Linked DNA regions of Ovis aries. The protein of the gene in region 3 purifies or fractionates together with the protein of the main gene of each other region. This does not show direct contact. Links are inferred from orthologs where the notes say so. Each region holds a gene or a part of one and is shown on either strand. Other genes may lie near its edges. The genes, in order: POLR2M, RNGTT, POLR2D, RPRD1B and MED19.

The links.
Region 1: the proteins of POLR2D (region 3) and POLR2M purify together in Homo sapiens (affinity purification with mass spectrometry; 3 studies listed by BioGRID and IntAct, counting the BioPlex papers as one, with this or other methods). This does not show direct contact. The link is inferred for Ovis aries from reciprocal best matches to the Homo sapiens genes POLR2D and POLR2M.
Region 2: the proteins of POLR2D (region 3) and RNGTT purify together in Homo sapiens (affinity purification with mass spectrometry; 3 studies listed by BioGRID and IntAct, with this or other methods). This does not show direct contact. The link is inferred for Ovis aries from reciprocal best matches to the Homo sapiens genes POLR2D and RNGTT.
Region 4: the proteins of POLR2D (region 3) and RPRD1B purify together in Homo sapiens (affinity purification with mass spectrometry; 3 studies listed by BioGRID and IntAct, counting the BioPlex papers as one, with this or other methods). This does not show direct contact. The link is inferred for Ovis aries from reciprocal best matches to the Homo sapiens genes POLR2D and RPRD1B.
Region 5: the proteins of POLR2D (region 3) and MED19 purify together in Homo sapiens (affinity purification with mass spectrometry; 4 studies listed by BioGRID and IntAct, with this or other methods). This does not show direct contact. The link is inferred for Ovis aries from reciprocal best matches to the Homo sapiens genes POLR2D and MED19.

The regions. Positions count from the first base shown.
Region 1 is NC_056060.1:50,699,621-50,703,826, forward strand, and holds the start of POLR2M (protein GRINL1A), read right to left. Parts: upstream 2,803-4,206; 5' UTR 2,669-2,802; coding exon 2,556-2,668; intron 873-2,555; coding exon 225-872; intron 1-224.
Region 2 is NC_056061.1:48,568,780-48,572,290, reverse strand, and holds part of RNGTT (mRNA-capping enzyme), read right to left. Parts: intron 1,558-3,511; coding exon 1,393-1,557; intron 1-1,392.
Region 3 is NC_056055.1:117,615,748-117,619,772, forward strand, and holds the start of POLR2D (DNA-directed RNA polymerase II subunit RPB4), read left to right. Parts: upstream 1-1,219; 5' UTR 1,220-1,247; coding exon 1,248-1,320; intron 1,321-3,074; coding exon 3,075-3,255; intron 3,256-4,025. UniProt on the Homo sapiens protein: Core component of RNA polymerase II (Pol II), a DNA-dependent RNA polymerase which synthesizes mRNA precursors and many functional non-coding RNAs using the four ribonucleoside triphosphates as substrates.
Region 4 is NC_056066.1:66,897,870-66,902,037, reverse strand, and holds the start of RPRD1B (regulation of nuclear pre-mRNA domain-containing protein 1B), read right to left. Parts: upstream 2,801-4,168; 5' UTR 2,416-2,800; coding exon 2,265-2,415; intron 1-2,264. UniProt on the Homo sapiens protein: Interacts with phosphorylated C-terminal heptapeptide repeat domain (CTD) of the largest RNA polymerase II subunit POLR2A, and participates in dephosphorylation of the CTD by RPAP2. Transcriptional regulator which enhances expression of CCND1.
Region 5 is NC_056068.1:79,750,237-79,754,438, forward strand, and holds the start of MED19 (mediator of RNA polymerase II transcription subunit 19), read right to left. Parts: upstream 2,809-4,202; 5' UTR 2,776-2,808; coding exon 2,559-2,775; intron 2,501-2,558; exon of another isoform or gene 1,878-2,500; coding exon of another isoform or gene 1,778-1,877; intron 1-1,777. Other genes in the region: TMX2 (thioredoxin-related transmembrane protein 2), read left to right, coding at 3,234-3,422. UniProt on the Homo sapiens protein: Component of the Mediator complex, a coactivator involved in the regulated transcription of nearly all RNA polymerase II-dependent genes.

The DNA.
Region 1 (4,206 bases), on a different chromosome or scaffold from region 3:
TCTGCTACTGAAAACCTTTTCAATTACTTGGCTAAAAAAAGAAAGCATTTTCCAGCCAGAATCCTCCACTCCAGCCATGTTCGTTTTACTGCTTCTACAATACGCTCATTCCCAAGTACAAGCAGTTCTCATACCAAGTCCACTGAACTTAATGCAGTCTCCCAGTTTTGGGAGTTTAACAAATATCATGCTCCTGTAACAAGCCTGTTTCTGATGGTACTTACACATTGGTTTTAAATTTATGTGGCGGGGGCATGGGATTTTTGGCTCGCGTTTCCAGCACTTCCATGTAATGAGGCTTCTTCTGGGGCCTACTCCAGAGGCCGGCCAAGTTCTCAGGACTCTGGTTTCCTTCTGAGTGGTGTTCAGTGGGATCCGCAATTGTGATCCTTTGCAATCTATCAATGAACAGGTTGTCTGAGCTGCCAGGATGATCCTCCACTTGACCTAAGGCACAATGCTGAGGGAGACCCTCACTAGCTTCAGATGAGGAAGGTGCTGGGGCTCTGCTGCTAGAAGGTGGGTGCTTGCTCACTGTGTGTTCAGCCTCAGTTGCCTCAGCATCACCTCCGCGAGTCAGATGTTCCAGTCCCTGTTGTCGTGAGGTTGTCTGAGATGATGTGATGTTAGCTACAGACGAACAGCCAGGAACAGGTGATGAAGTATCAAGTATCTGGTCAGAATTCTGGGCCTTATCTCTGCCCCCATCAACAACTGCAATCGCTTTTTGCCTCTCCTTACAGTCTAAGCTAACAGGATAAAAGAGTTCACTTCTTCCTCTAACTTCTTCACGTTCTGCAATGGCAGCTTTCAGTTTGGTGACAGCGTCTGAGATCTTTTTACCTTTGTCGGGCAATTTGCAAATGAATTTTCTACAAAAGGAAAAGAATAGGTATACGTTACATAGAGCCATGTTTTTAAACTTGAGATATACAAAGTAGTATTCTCAAAGGGAGAAAAATCGACCGTTAAGTCAAAAAACTGATTTCCAGCTGCCGGAAATAAGAGAATCATTACCCAAATACCCCTCAAAACAAGGGACTACAGGATGATTAGGGACTATGTCTTGTTTGTCTCATCTATTAACAATTAGAATTTCTGCAGAAGTATTTTAAGCATGATATTAATATAAGACATGCCCCAAATCAGTTTTTAAAGTGTGATTTCCAAGACCTTCCTGGTGAGGGGAGGTGGATGGATCTGCAAGGTCAGAACTATTTATAATAACTAAGGTACTATTTGTCATTTTCACTCTCTTTTCTTACCATGAGTACAGGGGAGTTTTCCAGAGGCAACATGATATGGATGATAGCATTGTTCTGATGGCTAATAGAATGCGTTTTTGTGTTCTTGTGTTTTAAAGATTCTCACTTGTAACTCCTAAGACAATGATAACTATCAGTCGATATAACACACATACAGCAAGAGCTCTTCAAAATGTTCAGTAAGTCTTCAGAGTTAAAGCGGTCCTGAGGCTAAAAAGTTAACTCACTCATTCTCACAGTCAAAATAGTTGTCTCTACCAGGAAATCCCCAAGTGATCATTTGCCACTTTGGCTAAGTGGCAAAAGTTCTTTTTCTGATTTCCTTTTCTTTAGCCATACAATAAATGTGGAGGGAAGGTTACAGCTCACACCCTCTATTCTTTATGACACTACATTCATTCTCCTAATTCTATTAACATTCCTCCCAGTTGAGAGGTCTGTATTTTCCCAACGTTCTCTTCTCTCTCCAGCCTCATGACCACTTCTCCAGCTTTCAATCAAATGTAATTAACTTTTCCATTAACTAAGCTCCAGTAAGTAAAATCAGTGTCAGACTATTACCCTCCTCCAGTTTTCCTACTTTTATTAATGGTGCTCCATACAGGTTGGAAACTTCAGCCATCTCTGTCAACCATATACTCAAATGATCCTAAGCCTGATCTAGTCTCCCCAATCCCACAGCTACCCTTCTAGTTCACTTTTTTAGAATCCCCTTATTGGAGAACTTCTCTGAAAATACCTCCTAGTCTCTTCTGCCTCTTATTCCTTCAAATTTTCCTGCACCAAACTGCTAAAATAAGCTTCCTAAAAAAATCATTATTTTTACACCTATTCTCTGCTAAAATCCATTAAGTCTAACAGCTAAGTGTGAACCAAACTTACTTTGCCTAAGAAGCCACTCTTTTACCCTACTCTTCCCACTTCCTACAGTTCCTGTAAAAAAATGGGATCTAGAGATGAAACTTACTAGGTGTTTGGGGCACTATTTGGCGGAAAGGGAGCGAAAGGACTGGGGATACAGACCCTCCCCTTGGAGGGCCGACACAGGCACTGAGTAAGTAAAATCAAAGAGGAGCTGAAACGCTGGAGAGCCAGAAACACGGGCGCCCGGCGCCCGGGCTGTACGCGGTAGCTCTGTGACTGTAGGCCGGCCACTAGCCCGTGGGCCTGGAACGGACCTAAGACAAGGTGACCTTCCAGGAAAGAGATCGGGATGGGGGCGGGGAGGGGCCCGTCCCAGGGTTCCCAACGCGAGGAACCCTGCGGTGACTTCGCGGGACCCAAGCTTACACGTTGCGCAAAAGTCTCTCCTGGCGCTTCAACATTTCCCGTAGCTCCGCCAAACTCCGCTGCCCCAAGTCCTCGGGAGTTTGGGGCTCGAAGCCGCGGGGAAGCGAGGACATTCTGCGGGGGCTGAGGCTGGCGAGGCGGTGGGCACTCGGCGTCCTCGGCAGCCCCCGTGGCTGGCGCCAGATCCGCGGCCGGCGGGGACTCCGGCGAACGAGCGGGAGTCGCCATTTTCCCGGAAGAACAAGTCTTCTTCTAGCCGAATCGAGCTTTATTGAAACGCCGGAAATAAACACGGACAGAGTTGAGGGAGTGGCGGCCGGGGCGGGAATCGCGGGGTGACGTCACGCGCCGGCGGGGCGCGCTTTCTAGTTGCTTATTCTTCCTGTGCCTTGGGTCTTGGCTTAAGTATTCAGAAAAAGTGAGTTCCTGGGGCCCTGTCCTGAAGGAGTCTGCTGAGTGAGGGAGGAGAGCAGACATTAATCAATTAACAAATGGAAGAATTGTAAGACGGCTATGGGCACCAAGGAAGGAATAACGAAGAAGTGAAAGACACGTGGAAACAGGAGTGATGAATTGGTTAACCATTAGTGAAGCTGGAGTATGTACCGGGCACGTGAAGCCCTGGCCTATGGCGTGGCCTTGCTAGTTCTGGGTTTAGTGAAGACCTCAAACATTAATGTTGGAGGATCATTCAGAACCATCAGCGTTTCTTAAGGCGGCTTTGTGGCATTTGAAGCAAGACTTTTCCTCGTTTTCAGGACTGCCTCAGGTATTGCAAGATATTTGGTGTCTATTTGATGTCTGGGTTTCTGCTCTCTAGTTGGTTTGGCATTCCTGAATCCTCCTAAAAATACAAAACGCACCCCCGCCCCCCGCCGCCCCAACACACACACTCCTGAGTCCTTGTAACAGTACAAAATGCATCTCCCCAACACACACACACACACACACACACACACACACACGATTTCAAAGGCCCACAAGAGGTGATGATAGTAGGAGGTGCTGCACAACAAACGGAGAACCTCTTTTTCACAATTACCCGTTTTGCCCTTGGAAAAACAAAGGCACAAAAACTGAAGTTTTCCCAGGGCACAAAACTAGTAAGTGAGAACATCATTGCTGTAGACACAAATGCCCAGGTGGTCTTTCTGCCACCCCAATTCAAAAATCTTGCAAAGAGCAAGAAAGTTTTTTAGGCTGTTGAGGAAAGCAGTGTAACTGCTAACTCTTCAGTGTAACACCTAACTCTTCTCTATAGTTCAGGTAAGAAAGCTGGATCCCAAAGAAAAAAGTAGGAAGCATGCTATAGTCTTAACAGACATCAGTTGTGAGGTTTGAAAGACCCTATAACCTCCAACCCCAGTCTCTCCCTTCTTTGATACGGAAAATTTACATTTGCTAGTCCTTTGTAAGGTGCTGTAACAAACAATTCCCTCCCAATCAGAGGGAAGCTCTAGATAAAATATGAGGCTATTTCAGGAAGTACAGCTGAAACTGTGTCTGTATCCTTACAATCTAGTCCATTCTGATCAGTTTAACATATCAAAAGTCTCAACATAAACTCTGCTTTGAAACAAGGATTTCAGTAACCTGCTCCATAGCTTTCTAAGTGAGAAATACTCAAGAAAGGCCCTTGTCAGGTATTTGT
Region 2 (3,511 bases), on a different chromosome or scaffold from region 3:
AGGGGACGACAGAGGATAAGATGGTTGGATGGCATCACTGACTCAATGGACATGGGTTTGGGTGGACTCCGGGAGTTGGTGATGGACAGGGAGGCCTGGAATGCTGCAGTTCATAGGGTTGCAAAGAATTGGACACAACTGAGTGACTGAACTGAACTGAACTGAACTGAACACAGCTCCAGTTAGCAGATTTCCATGAAGGGCGTGACCTGCACTAAATGTTAACATTATCCTTATCCTACCGACTGGGCAGGGCATAGAAGTGTATGGCTCTTATAGGCACCCCTATTCCTGTAGCCAAAACAGACAGAAAAGGCAAGCAGTGAACTGTAGGAAGGCTGTGGCACCAGAAGTCAACCAATGGGACCATGCCAAGCAGGCATTATGCAAAATGTGAAAGTGGAATGGTAAGTTTGTATCTGTTGAGAAAAAAAGACAGGCATTCAACAGGGCTAAGATTATTGTTAATATTATATCCAGGGGCTAATACCGAATTGAGCAGACTTGAGCAGAAGCAGTTCAAATACAACACAAAATTACATCATCCAACATGTGAGATTATACCAGAAAAAAATTTTAAAACATGTAATTGCTCATGTTGCTTTATTTCCTGTATTCTTCTATCCTAACCACACCTCTTCTGAAACATAATAATTCCATGGTGCATCTTTACTGTCAAACACTATGCAGCAATTACAAATCTCTTTGCATGACATGGAAATATTTCCACGTGAGCATTTCCAAGTACTGTTAAGTGAAATAATTCCAGAATATTTAGTATGATGCATTTTCAGTCAAAACAACAAAAAAGCAATAACAAAAGAAAACTCTCCATGTGTATGTATATATATCCATATATATAAATTAGTTTTTAAAATAAGACTACACACTAAACACTGTTGACCTTCAGAAGGCCTAACAGGTGATTTTCACTTTATATAATTCTATTCTTTTCACAGCTTTTTAAAAAACATAAACCAACAACCATGAATCAAATACTATTATGAGACACAAGGAATAACTTAAGTTTCCATCACTAAAATCTTACCAAGATAAAGCAGATAAACAAGGACCTACTGTACAGCAGAAAGAACTATATTCAACATCATACAATGACCTATAATGAAAAACAATATATATACATATATATGTAACTGAATTAATTTGCTGTACACCCGAAACTAACACAGCATTGTAAATCGACTATACTTAAATTTTAAAAAAAAGAATCTTGTGAATGTGCAGACTTGAGGTTTTACATGTCTGTCCAAAACAGTGCTATATTCAAGTAATTTCTGGAAAAGTCAAGAAAAGAGGGCCTCAAAATGTCATTCATATTCCTTTCACAAGTTAAATTTTGATACACTGTAAGTACTAATTAGAAAACTTTACCTTTCTTGAAGCATAGATGTCAAAAAATGGCTTATGTCTGACACTGAATGGTTCCTGTGTTTTGTCAATGAGCCCTGTCTTCATTTTTTCATGTCGAGGATTTATTATTTCTCTTTCTATACACTGCAGACGAATATTAAAATCACAATCTCCAACCGGCTGTGCCTGAATTAAACCAGACAATTATTTAAATTTCAACACTAAAAACTATTATATCAGAATAGTTATTTAGGCGGTCACACTACAGCAGTCTATATAAACAGCATCCTTTGGAGCTGCCCAATGCACAGCCTGCACCACCGTACGTGCCAGTCCTGACAGACTAATGATAGAAGCATACCTAAACGTGCAAATACACATATACAAAATTATTTAAATTATAAATATATAAAAGAAAATAGGGGAACAATATAAATCTCCTCAAATACAAATTTTAGATCCAAAGCTTTCACATCTTAATTAAAGTATTAATATACTCACTAAACACTTTATTATTTATATGAATTAGTAAGACCTGTGTAAAAACTAAAATCCAAGTAGGTAGGAAAGTATATGTAAACAACACACCAAAATAAGCAAAAAAATAAATAAATAAATCATCGTTTTGTTGTTTAAAATGCTAACACCTTAAAGCCATCAAGAAGTAGAAGATATTATTAAAGAAATATATTATAAACTCTGAAAACTAATACAGAACAGTTTATAAAATATATTCAAAAAATAAAGTAATCCACTCCTCTATATGTATATACACAGTATATATATTATGGTATACATATTTAAAGTGAAAGTAAAGTCGCTCTTTTCCACGTCACCTATGTCATTAACAAGGTTGAGAAATCTAAAATGTCAGGTTCATTTATTAGATGAGTTCAGACCCCTATAAAATTACAGTGAAACAAGCAAGGCTTCTTCTTAAGAAATAAAATAAGAAGTCTAAAAATTACAAATAGAAAGTAAGTTCACCTTCAAATCTGTGCTACCCATGATAAAGGAAGTTCCTGATAGATGTGTTGAATTATGGAGAACAGACTACAGGAAGCACTCAAACTATTGACTTCTCAATAGTCTTCTCCGTTTTGAGTTCTTTCTTAGGTCAAAACACTACCCACACTGCCAGTGGAGTTATCTTTCAAAACAATTAAAGTATGATCGTATCATTAACATAACTAAAACCCTTCAGTAGTATCCTATTTTACACAGAACTGAGCTAAAATGCCTTATTCAAGTAATCTGCACCCCCCCCCCACCACCATCCATTCTCATTTCCTGCTACATCGCACATCTCACCACACATCAAGTACACAAATGTCCATCTAACGCTCCTGACCTCTTAGGCTCACTCCTTCACAATTAATGGGTCACTTTCTCTGTCTACAACTCCACACTTCAAATGACTCAACCTGGAATATTCTCACCTCTTTGCTACCTCTCATATATCTCCCATATACTTCCCTATTTCTCCCTAATATCTTTGATATTATACTTATGATACTTTTATAATTATTTCTTTAATTTACATTCCCATTCATAAGTGCACTTCAAGTTTCTTTTAATTTTGCATTCAATCTAAACACATATCCTAACAATTGTGTATAATATATGCATATTAGCCTCTAATAAATTGCATATATACACAACTGTATATTATAAAACAGACAAAAATTGAATAATAGATTAAGAATAAATCTTTCTTCTTTTCAAATCCCAATGAATTGTTGAGGAAGTAGCCTTTTTTGGAGGTCAGTACACTAAATCATAAATTCCCTGGAGGCAAGAAATCATGTCCTAGTCTTCTGTATATTCCTGATACCTAGAATAATACTTGACATACGAAAAATTATCAATGAAATTACTGCTGGACAAAACAGCAAACTAAAGGATTAAAAAGTTTTACACTGTTATCTCAAAAAAATTTTCTCATAGTGACCTTGATTTGATAAATCAAAATAAACAAAGTGGTTAATCATCAGTGAAAGTGAAAGTCGCTCAGTTCTGTCTGCCTCTTTGTGACCCCATGGACTCTACAGTCCATGGAATTCTCTAGGTCACAATACTGGAGTGGGTAGCCATTCCCTTCTCCAGGGAATCTTCCCAACCCAGGGATGGAACCCAGGTC
Region 3 (4,025 bases):
GCCTTGCACTTACGTGTTTATAATGGTTTCCTGAATGAAAATGTGGGCAAAACAGCCTGTGAAACATCAGTGTGGATTATTTGCTGTTCTCTCTTCTGTTGCCTTCTCTTCCTGCTGTGTGTTAGTTATGTGGCTAGTACTGGGGCCAGCAAATGTTAAGGTCCAGTTAAGTAGTAGGTAGGTGCTCTGCAAAAGCCTGTTGGATGGATAGATGGGAGAAGGGGGCCTACACTGAGCTCAAAGACTATCCCATACCCAGCTGGGGCATGTTCCCAGACTCCTCTGGGCATTGGCCTGCAGCTCTAATGAACTGTGTAGGAAAGCACTTTGAAGCAGTAATAAGCTCTGCCAGCACTATACGACCTACCATTAATTCACCTGATACATTTCTTTTGGAAACACATACACAAGGCAAATTAACTTTTATAAATTATAATTTAAAGGAATTATAAATTAAAGGAATACAGATGCATACCCTTGTCTGGTAATATCGTCATTTTTTGTGAACAGTTTATATACTTATAGACGGTTCATTCCTGAGCCAAGCAGTGCACTATGGTTATTTTCTGCATTGTACAACCATCTGTTTTCTCTCAAGTTGGAAACAGAATCATTTTTCATTTGCTTGCTTACTCGAAGTATCACCCAAATGTTCCAACAGGCTTCTCAATATCACTATCCACTATTCCATGTTCAGAAGTATTGGAAAAAATCCACTACAAATCAAACATTTTAAATGCTTTGAGGCATTGGAGGAATTACACTGAATGTTTTCAGAGTCACCTACCCAGCTTCCCATCAACTAGAGATCCTTGGGTCGGTCTGCGCGTTCCTGCCTCCCATCTAATCCTTCCCCTGCGCCCTGGAAAGCGGTATCCTCATCCACACTTCACAGGTGAGATAGCTGAGGCTCAGAAATGCCAACTGAGCAGTCCCCACGACTCGCAGCGAAGGACCTACTGTTGAAGAAAGTGACGGTTTTCTCCTGCCGCGGCCGCAGGATGCGCCACCCCGTCGCGGCACTTCCAGAGACCTGCAAGACCCCACCGCTCTGGCCCCTCCCCGCTTGCGCCCGAGGCCGCTAGGTCCCTTGGCCCCGCCCACCCCGCGGTTGTCTCGCCTACCCATCGCGGCCCGCCCACCTTCAGTGGGGCCCCGCCCCGTCTGCAAGAACACGCCCCTTCCGTGGCGGCGACCGGAAGGAGCTTCCGCTTCCGACAGCGTGGGTACTGGTTCTCGGCGAGAGGATGGCGGCGGGCGGGAACGATCCGCGCTCTGGAGATGTAGAGGAGGACGCATCACAACTCATCTTTCCCAAAGGTGCGGCCTGGGCAGGCGTGGCGAAGGGCGCGGAGGAGGAGGGTGCGGGCGGTCTGGGCACGGTTCCGCGGGAACTGGCCAGCTGGAGTCCACACCGGCAGCGCTGGAGCCGTCGGCCCCCAACTCCACATCGCCCCGGGGGGCCTCTTGTTCGTGTTTAAGTTGTTTTAGTCCATAAACTAGGAAGTGCTGGACGGTTGTGTCAAAGATAAAGCCAACACTAAAGGGGTAATGGCACGTTTTAATCATTAATATACTATCGCAGTAGGGAAAAGCGTGAAGCGTGGAATCATCTAGACTTGGATTTGTGCAAAGGTGACTGGGCGTTTTAAAGGGAGAATGAAGGAATAGGGAGAGGGGTGAGCAGGGCCTCACAAAGAGTCAGGGAAGTGAAAAATTACGAGAAGCGGGGGTTGGTCCGTTTGAAGCTCATTTGGATTTGTTAACTGGTGGTTATGGGGTTAGGCTCCTTCCTTCCCAACACCCTTCGCCCTGGGCTGTGAGACAAGGGCCCTATCTTCAGATGTTGTCAGGAACAAACAAATTATTTTGACAGCCTTCAGTTTTCATAAGCAGCCACTGTAAAGGAGCTAGAGTCATCCCAGGGATGCAGCCTTGAGCTGTTAGAAATCGTGTTAGTGTTTTCTTCAAGTCTTTGTGGAACAACCTTGAGTCCTAGTCGTGAAAAGGGCGCACAGGAGCCTGGCCAGAGCTTGGTTATGAGAGAAGAGAATCTTTGTCAGATGGCAGCGAGTAAAGCACTGTTTGCTATCAGGGATTCTGTGCTGTGTGATGGACTTAATGTGTAATTTAAAAACCCAAAATAAGTAGCTTAAGACTTCAACATATATCTTACAGGTACTGAAAAACACGAAGTCAGTGAACAGTAACAACAAAGTGGGGAAAACTTTAACAGTACCTGTCTTTTAAAAAAAAATTGCCACTAATATATGCAGAGTAAAACCTTAAAGTCCACACCTTTTCACCCAAACAACTATAAATAGTGTTTATCCTTCCAAACCATGCTTATTTTTAAGTATATACTTATACCCTTCATTCTTTGCAAAAATAGGATTATGCTATAGAAATCATAAATTTTGTAGAACTGTTCTATTCTTTTAAAGGACTAGATAGTACTTGATGGGTGGTGATGGTGTTCAGTCGCGAAGTTGTTGTGTCAACTGTTTTGCAATCCTTTGGACTGTAGCCCACCAGGCTCCTCTGTCCATGGAATTTCCCAGGCAAGAATACAGGAGTGGGTTGCCATCTTCTCCAGGGGATCTTCCCCACCAAGGGATCAGGCCTCTCCTGCATTGGCAGGTGGATTCTTTACCACTAAGCCACCAGGGAAGCCCGCTTAATGGTTGTACCATAATTCTATTTATTAATGTGTATAGAGATTGCTTTCAGTATTGTATGTCATAGACTCATGGTGAAATATTTCCGAGGACAGCGTCACAGACGGTGTAGGCGTAATGGACATGTATGTTTGTTTTCTTTTTTAAGGTGTGATAACTGAGAGGTAGGTGGTTTTCTGAATTTCATGATAAACCAGTTTTTGGTACTTGGGTTTTGTCTCGGTTCTTTTTATTTAAGGCGTTTTGTTTGTGTGAACACTGTACAGTTGTAGGATGTGAAGCCTCTGGATTTCTGCAGGGTCAGAAGTTTGCTGATAGTCACTAAGGCAAATGAACATTTAGAAGCTGACTTGGGAAGAAATATTTTCAGCTGACATTTATGCTTCTCGCAAATAGAGTTTGAAACAGCTGAGACGCTTCTGAATTCGGAAGTTCATATGCTTCTTGAGCATCGAAAGCAGCAGAATGAGAGCGCAGAGGATGAGCAGGAACTTTCCGAGGTCTTCATGAAAACTTTAAATTACACTGCCCGTTTCAGTCGTTTCAAAAACAGAGAGACCATCGCCAGTGTCCGTAGGTGAGTGCTGAAAGAAAGTTCTTACTAACCCAGACTGCTGGGCACCTGCATGTGGAAGGCTGTCAGCACCACCATCCCCACTCACCCACCCCACCCCTGCTGCCTCAGGGGCGTCGTTCGTGCGATTCATGTGAGGAAAATTATGTCTTTGGCAAACTTTAACGTAGCTTGTTAGACCGAAATCCTCCTTGCCTACTTTTTCTGTACCCTAAATCCCACTTACCTCCCTGCAGAGTGACTACTGTCAAAAGTTTGTTGCTAGCTCTCCAGAGCTTATTCCATGAATTCATATACACACACGTCACAAACACACAGCCCTGTTATGTTTTAAATAGAGTGGACTTATTTATCGTTCACCTGATATGTCCTAGAGATCTTGCTGCATTTTGTTTTTTTTTTAAATATCTATCTATTTATTTATCTGTCTGTGTCAGGTCTTAGTGTCTGCACATCAGCTCTTCACTGCAGCGTGCAGGCTTCTCTCTCATTGTGACTTGCAGGCCCCAGGGTATAGGGCTCAGGAGAGTTCAGGGCTCAGTAGAGTACAGGGCTCAGTTGAGTTCAGGGCTCAGTTGAGTACAGGGCTCAGTAGAGTACAGGGCTCAGTAGAGTTCAGGGCTCAGTAGAGTACAGGGCTCAGTTGAGTACAGGGCTCAGTAGTTGTGGCAGATCCCTTTAGTTGCCCTTTTGCATGTGAAATCTAGTTCCCCAAGCTGGGATCGAACCCACGCTCTCTACAGTGGAAGTGTAAAGTGTGGAGTATTAACCAC
Region 4 (4,168 bases), on a different chromosome or scaffold from region 3:
ATTTGAATGTTAGGGCACAAAATCCCTTTCCACTTTAGTGTGGAGGCATTTTCAATTCATGAAGGAAGCTTGGGTATTAGAAAACTGTATCATGAGGCTTGGAAGACCAGCCTCCAGTTCTATAATGTCCAATATGGTAGCCACCAGCCACATGCAGCTATGAATATTTGCACTGTACCTAACAAAACTCAGGAACTGAATTTTCCATTGTATTTATTTGAAACTTCCTTAGTCACACATTTTGAGTGCTCAAGGCAAGAGGCTACCTTATTGGACAGCAAATGTAAAACATTTCTTTCATCACAGAAAGCTCATGTCCCAACTGGATAACTCTTGACAAAGCATTTAATCTCTTCATATCTTTATCTTTTCATCTATAAAACAGGGATAATAATGCTGACCTACTTACAACATAAGGTTCCATTATACGAGATTAGGGTTTAAAGGGAAGTCACTTAGTTGTGTCTGACTCTTTGCAACCCCATGGACTGTAGCCTACCAGGCTCCTCTGTCCATGGGATTTTCCATGCAACAGTCCTGGAGTGGATTGCCATTTAGCTTCATAAACAAAAGAACTCTAAATTGTTACTCTCAGTAACTCAAATATGGTGAGGTGGGGAATCAAGATGGCATCACAAAAGAAGTGACATTTGAGATGGATTTTGACATGCTTCTGAGATCCTACTAGAAAGGATCCTATAGAGGCAATTCAAATTTTCTCCCCACGTCTCAGATGATCTGAGTGGCACAGTGGGGTACATGAATGAGGTTCTGGGAGACCCAGGCTCTATTCTCCAACTATCTAGAAGGCTGAGGTGGACCGCCCCCTCACATCTCGGTACAGCACATGATATTTGGCCGGGGGGGTTGTCTCTGCCAGAGGACTAGAATTGGGTCTCCCAAAAGAATCCTGGATTTGGGTGTCTGCCAATCTGATGTTATCCCAGGCTCACAGGTTCTCTCATCTGCATAACAGGGTGACATCCTGAGCTCACAGAGAGCAGAGGACATAGGTAAAGTTACCGCCTATGCTATAAAAGGTCTACACACACAGGCTGTCCAAAACAGCGCTACACTTCATTTCCTTGGCTTTCTGCTCTGAAACTCACCGGTGCCTGCGACAGCTATGTAGGTGCCCCTCTTTCCTCCCCCGAAAGCAACTGTGGCAAACACCATGTCACACATGGAGTCACCAGTATCCCCCTCACCGTATCTATCCAGTGCCTACACTGTGCCAGACACCATGCTAGACATTCATGAGGATTAGGCTGATTACTCTTCACCACACAACCTTTGAGCCTCCTTTTTTCTCACCTGCCAAGTTCCTACTTCATAGAACTCTGAGAATTTTAAAAAAAATGACATGTGTGTAAAGAGATCAGTACTGCACTTGGCACAGAACAAACGCACTGTAAGTATCACTTATCATCATCTTCATTTTACAGATCAGGAAACTGAGATACAGAGAAGTTAAGCTGCCGGAGCTCAGTAAATGACAAAGTCGGGCTTAGATTCCAGGCAGTTGGCTTTCAAGCACCCAACCCAGTACCTGGCACATGACAGGCTGAGCTCAATCAATGGCGGCCAGATCCTGAGCAGGATCTAGAACCAAGGAGAGCTGCATGAGAAGAGGAGCCTGAGAGGCTAGGTCTAGGTGGAGTGGCCTCTTAACTTCTCTGTAATGGCAGTGACTATATCCATTCCCCAGGACAGTGCTGAGCATTAAGTGCAAGGATGTATGAAAGGTCCTAGGACACTAACTGGCACAGAATAAAGCCTCTGTAAGGGCCAACTGTCTTCATTTTCGTTTGACAGATGAGAAAACAGAGGCTTAGAAGAAAACTGCCAGATATCACTCAGCTAGTAAAAGTGGCTGAGCCAGGGCTCGATCTGGGCAATCTTGCTTCAAATCCCTAGTCAGTGCCTGGCACACAACAGGCTCTGTACCCTCCACCTGGCGCTCAACGGGGCCGAGAGAATAATAGTCACAAGTGTCAGAAGAAGCCAGAGGGGGAAAACGACTGGATGAACTGAGAATCCTGAGCCCGGGTCGGTGGGACTTAAGCACCTTAAACCTTCCGAGGCCTCGGTTTCCTTCTCCGAGAAATGAGGATAACACTGTCTCCAACCTCAGCAAGCGCAATCGATCACAGGTCCGGGCCTGGAAAGCCAAGGCTCAGCAAAGAAGCTACAGGAGCCGCGGGAGTGGGTGCGGACGAGGGCTACCCGGGGGAGGACCGGAGGGGGACGGAGAGGATGTTTACCTTTGCGGAGCTCGCGATGCCACACCGAGACGATGGGTCCCGCGTGCTTGCGGTGGTGGATGAGCCACAGGGAGAGGGTCTGCACGCTCTGCTGAGAGTTGCTCAGCTCTGAGAGCTTCTTCTCCAGCGCCGACTCGGAGAAGGAGGACATGGTGGCGGCGGCGAGGCCTGGCAGGGAGCGGCCTAGGCCGCCCAGTGCGGCGGCAAGAGTGACGGCACGAGGCCGGGGCCTCACTCCACCCGCTGCGGGACTCTTTACGGACTGACAGACGGCCGGGGGGCCCGGCGGGGGAGGGGATGGGTCTCCGCAGTAACAGCCACCCGCACAGCCGCCACAAGATGGCCACCGACCTCTCACCCCGCCGCGGGCGCAGGGTCAAAGGGCAAGCGCAGAAGTGGTGGGGCACCGACGTGGGGTGAGTCAGAGTGTAGAAAACACTCTAGTGTTGAAGGCCTCTTTGAATCTCGCTCTTGAGTACTCCGAGAACGGCAGACCGGGAAAAGAGCGCAACTCGACGGCCTCCGGAAGGCGCTTTGACCGCTCGCGCCTGCACGCCGGCGCAGTGAGTCTCATCGGAACCCTTTCTCCCGCTCCCACAGAACCTTTCTGGCGCTGGGCGGTGCGCGAATTAGGCGTCACTTCCGGCGCGGCGGAGGAGGCGGGAGAGTGAGGGAAAGGCTGGATGACGAGGTAAGGGAAGAGTGGCGCGAGCAGGAGGGAGCCCAGCAACCGCGAGCCCTTAGAGGGGAACCCCAGAGAGACGATGAGGTTGAGAGATCATAGCCTGGGAATGGAACGGGGCCTTTCTCCCTCACCTGGCAGGCCGCAGCCACACTCTTCCTCCTGCTTTCTGACCTCCCACCACAAAAAGCTTTTTTTTTTTGGTTCCGCCGAGCCACGCACGTGCACTTTTTCTGTCTCCACATCTTGGCTTTTGCTCATCTTTCTCCAGAGGTGACGCCCCCCTCCCCACGTGGTGGGTTCCCACTCCACCTCCAGAACCACCGTTAGTGGCCAGTTCCGATGTTCAGTTTGTGACGGCACCGCTGTAAAACACACCTTTGTGCTCTTGGTTGTTGTGCGTGCCTGCGTGCGTGCTCACTAGTATTTGACCCTTTGCAACCCCATGGACTGCCGTGCCAGGCTCCTCTATCCGTGGGATTTTCCAAGCAAGAATACTGGATGGAGTGGGTTTGCCGTTTCCTACTCCAGGGGATCTTCCTGCTCTTCGGGGAATTAAAGGCTGCCCTCTAGGAGGGTCCATTTGACTGTTGCTCTAATTTAAGTACCATATGTTAACTTTGTGGGTGGATAGGAAAGTAAGTGGGTTCGTTAACCTTTAAGAAACACTATTTGACACTGTGTTTTCAGAAACAGAAATACTCCGTACTCTGGGGGAGGGATGGTTCCCTGGTAACTCAGTGGTGAAGAATCTGCCTGCCAAGGCAAGAGACTCGGGTTGGATCCTTTGGTCTGGAAGATGCCCTGGAGAAGCAAATGGCAACCCACTGCTGTATTCTTGCCTGGGAAATCCTATGGACAGAGGAGCCTGGTGGGCTACAGTCCATGGGGTCACAAAAGAATGGGACACGACTTAGCGACTAAACAACAACAACAAAAGTATAGCACCTTATCCTATACAGAGTGTCTCATTTGTCTTCCGCACCTGTACACCATGGCACAGAGGTCTTATATCGCCCATGCCTGTGACAAAGCAGAAAGAGACAGGGAGGAGGGGAGAGGTTGCCAGGGAAATGGGTTCACTCAAACACTGATTGCAGTTCTGTTCCAACACCTCCCCAAGGACTGCTTTCCACAACCCAGTAGGGCTCCACTGAACTTGGAAAAGATGAGAGTCAAAAACTGGTTTATTCAGTCAGTCTCTGCCACAGTTGAACTCTGG
Region 5 (4,202 bases), on a different chromosome or scaffold from region 3:
TCGTTGAAGGTATAAACATCCTACTGAAACATCACTAGCTGGAATCAAGATTGCTGGGATAAAGAGCAACAACCTCAGATAGATGACACCACTCTAATAGCAGAAAGTGAAGAGGAACTTTGGAGCCTCTTGATGAGGGTGAAAGAGAGTGGAAAAGTTGGCTTAAAACTCAACATTCAGAAAACTAAGATCATGGCATCAGGTCCCATCACTTCATGGCAAATAAAAGGCGAAAAAGTGGTGGCAGTGACAGACTCTATTTTCTTGGGCTCCAAAATCACTGCAGACAGTGACTGCAGCCATGGGATTAAAAGATGCTTACTTCTTGAATGGAAAGCTATGATAAACCTAGACAGCATTTTAAAAAAGTAGAGACATCATTTTGCCGATAAAGGTCCATACAGTCAAAGCTATGGACGTGGGATGAACTGAAAGATGTCCCTGAGACTAACATGTATGTCTAAAATGACTCCCGGTTTCCACCTCCTCAAACTTGTTCTTGCCTGACCTCAGCACTACCATCAATCCTGTTATTCAAGCCAAAAATTCGAAATCACCCTCAATTCCTCTCTCCTCCACTTCTATATTCAATCCTTCATTCCTGTCAGTTCTACCTCTAACATTTATCCTGCATCCATTTACTTCTTTCCTCCATTGCTATCGCCTAGTCTAAACCACCTCTTTCCTGGACCACTAAGCAGTAACATTATTGAAAGGGGGATTTTTGTAGAAACTAACGCAATAATTAATTCAGCTATTTCACTACCACTTTGCATTATTACATTCAATAGTTACAGCTGACACACCTGTAAAGTCTTCTCCAGCACCATGAGTTTCATTTTCACTTTCCGTATCAGAAAACAATCACTAAGGTTTTCTGTCTCTTTGTTGGTCTAATAGTCACATCATCTGAATCAGAACTACATTCGGAACAACTATCATCTGCTGCTGCTGCTGCTAAGTCGCTTCAGTCGTGTCCGACTCTGTGCGACCCCATACACGGCAGCCCACCAGGCTCCCCCGTCCCTGGGATTCTCCAGGCAAGAACACTGGAGTGGGTTGCCATTTCCTTCTCCGATGCATGAAAGTGAAAGTGAAGTCACGCGGTAGTGTCCGACTCTTAGCGACCCCGTGGGCTGCAGCACTAGGTGCTGCTCGGACAATAAGAGAAAGTATCTGCATAAAATTCACTGAAAAAATTTTCTTCATTCAAAACTGCATGGTGTGTCACTTTTTAAAATTTTATGAAAATAAACTTGTGTTTATAAGGTACACAAGGTTGGAATAAAAACCTAACAGAGCAAAATGTGAATGATAATGTCAATGATAAGCTGTATGATGAATCCTTGATCAATTTTAAGCTTTAACAACTTCCCACGGTGATGTTAATGGTTTCACTCTCTAAAAAAGGTATTGACATGTTTCTGGTCAATAATATGTTAAAATCTAAATGTCTAACACAGGCCTCTGCCTACACTCTCACTTTATCTATCACTCCTCTGTTCACTTCACTGGAGTCCAGCTGATCTTCTGTTCCTCAAACATTACAAGATTTTTCTCACATTGGGGCTGTTGATTTCATTTTTTTTGTATCCAGTTATTCCTTCTCCCACTCATAAATGGCTAGCTCTTTCTCTGCGCTTACATTTTAACTCTAAAGTAACCTACTCAGAAAGAGCTTCTCTGATCACTCTAGCTAAAGCAGTTCAGCTCCCTTAAATCTTATCACATTTTTTTTTCCTACAGCCGTAACTGCTTTGTGATTTCACCCTGTTACCTTTTGCCTCCTCCATGGGCACGTAAATTCCCAAACAGGCAAGGATCTTGTCAGCCTTATTCACAGTTGTATCTTCAGTGTACAATAACCCCTGGTACATAAAATAGGTGCTCAACGAAATAAGTTTTTGAATGAAAGAGTCTGGTCCAATTCTATTCACTTGTTCCAACAGATGAGGAAAGGCCCAGGCCCAGAGAAAAAAGAAAGGCAACAAACCAACAGGAAGTCGGAAGCAGATTTGGAACTAGGTCCGCAAGGATGTTAAATAAGGACTCTCAAATTCCAAACTTGAACCCTGGGTGCTTTTTCAGTTAGCCACTCAGTCGTGTCCGACTCTGCGACCCCATCGACTGTAGCCCTCCAGGCTCTTCCGTCCACGGAATTTTCCAAGCAGGGATACTGCAGTGGGTAGCCTTTCCCTTCTCCAGGGTTCTTCCCACCTGAGGGCTCAAACCCAGGTCTGCCGCATTGCAGGCGGATTCTTCACCGTCTGAACCTCCAGGGAGTAACTTTTAGGGAATCATAAAACCACCATCAGCTTCAGAGACAGGGCGGAGCGTGAAAGGCGGCCACAGAGACCCATTCTTCTCATTCCCAGTCCATCCTGAGGATTCCTGTCGTGCCTTTGGCCTTGAATTCGCAGTCGTTTCCGACACGGAGCTCCGAAATCCCCGCACGCGCCGCCCGGGCTTCCCCTCACCTCCCTCGGCATCTAGGAGCCACGCCCAGCCCCACCTCGCGGCGATCTGATTGGCCGGCTTCGGCCGGGCCTCGGACTCACCTGGCAGCTCCCTCATTAGGTAGAAGGGGCCGCAGCCTGCCGCCGACTTGTCGCTCCCGGGAGGGGCCGAAGCGGCGGTCGGGGGCGGGGCCGGGCCGGGCCCCCCGCCCGGAGGCGGTGGCGGCGGGGGGGGCGGCTTTCCGGGTCCGAAGCCGAGTGCCGCTGGGGGAGGTGGCGGGTCAGCCTGGGCCCCGAACAGCGCCGTGAAATTCTCCATCGTCCCCTCTGCCCCGGCGCCGTCCCGGTGTCTGGCGTTAATGATTCTCATTGGTTAATCTTTTCACGGGGTACCGCCCTTTTCCTCCAGGAGTCGTTTACCATTGGACTGCCTCTGGCCCTGCCTACCTTCTTCCGGCAACGACTTCCGTCGCCTTCTGAGAACGTTCAGGAAATACTCCTTAACATTATTAAATTTTCCGAGGCCTCCGCTCGCAGCAATCGCTTAACCAATGAAATGACTTAGGTAGTAAAAGCGACAGCTAGGTTAGCCAATAGCATATCAAATCCCTCTCTCACCTCCCTTACCTGCCGTAGAGGGCCAATCAGAGATCTAGCTCCGGGTCTAGAGGCGGGCCATCTGACACTTGGCCCAATGGAAACCTTCAATGGTGAGAGAGGCGGGACCAGACCTACGGAAGCCGAAGAGAGCGGCCGGTGCCTCAGGGGGCCGAGAAGATGGCGGTCCTAGCGCCTTTGATTGCTCTCGTGTATTCAGTCCCGCGACTTTCACGATGGCTGGCTCGACCTTACTACTTTTTGTCAGCCCTGCTCTCTGCTGCCTTCCTACTCGTCAGGAAGCTGCCCCCTGTCTGCGAAAGTCTCCCCACGCAACGCGAAGACGGCAACCCGTGTGACTTTGACTGGGTGAGCGACCCTCCTCGGGACCCCACGACCTTGACTGTCCCCGCCCTGGTGGTCGCAGCCGGGAGCCCCGAGGGACCGTTTTGAGAACGCCTCAGGTTCCGGGCCTCTTAGCGGACTTGACAGACTGCTAAGAGTGTAGGGCGTGGATTGTTACCGAGCCTAACCCTCCTCTTGTTTAGGGTGAGAAAGCAGCCGGTTAGCTCGCCCAGCAGTCTCAGCCTTCTGCCTTTTGAGGCCAAGCTCCTTCCCACCTCCCAATCCATGCTCGACCAGAGTCTTCCCCAGACTGGGCCCTCGCACTCTCTTCCAGTGTTGCTCGTTAATAAAGAACCAGTGAGTTGTACAAGGCGAGTAGTATTTGTAGTATTCTCGTTTTATTGATGAAGAAACGGATCTTGGCGTAGTTAGGAGACTCGTCCAAGGTCACACAACTAGTGAGCGACGAGGATTTGCAGCCACTCTTTAGCCACGGTAACAGCACACAGCCATTTCTTAAAATCAAGTTAACAGTCTCTCAGGGCGGACTGTGTGCTGGGCTGTGTGCCGCATACTGGGGATGTAAAAATAAATAAAATTGTTAGGCCTATGGAAATGGAATTGTAAAAAAAAAAAAAAAGAAAAAAACGCTGTAAAGAAATCTGTCTCAAGCCTCTTGGAGTTCTCCCTGAACTGGAATGGAGGGACCACTCAGAAAAATAACTTGAGGGGCTTCCCTGGTGGTCCAGGGGTTAAGACTGCACTGCCTTTGCAGGGGGCCTGGGTTCCATCCCTGGTCAGGGA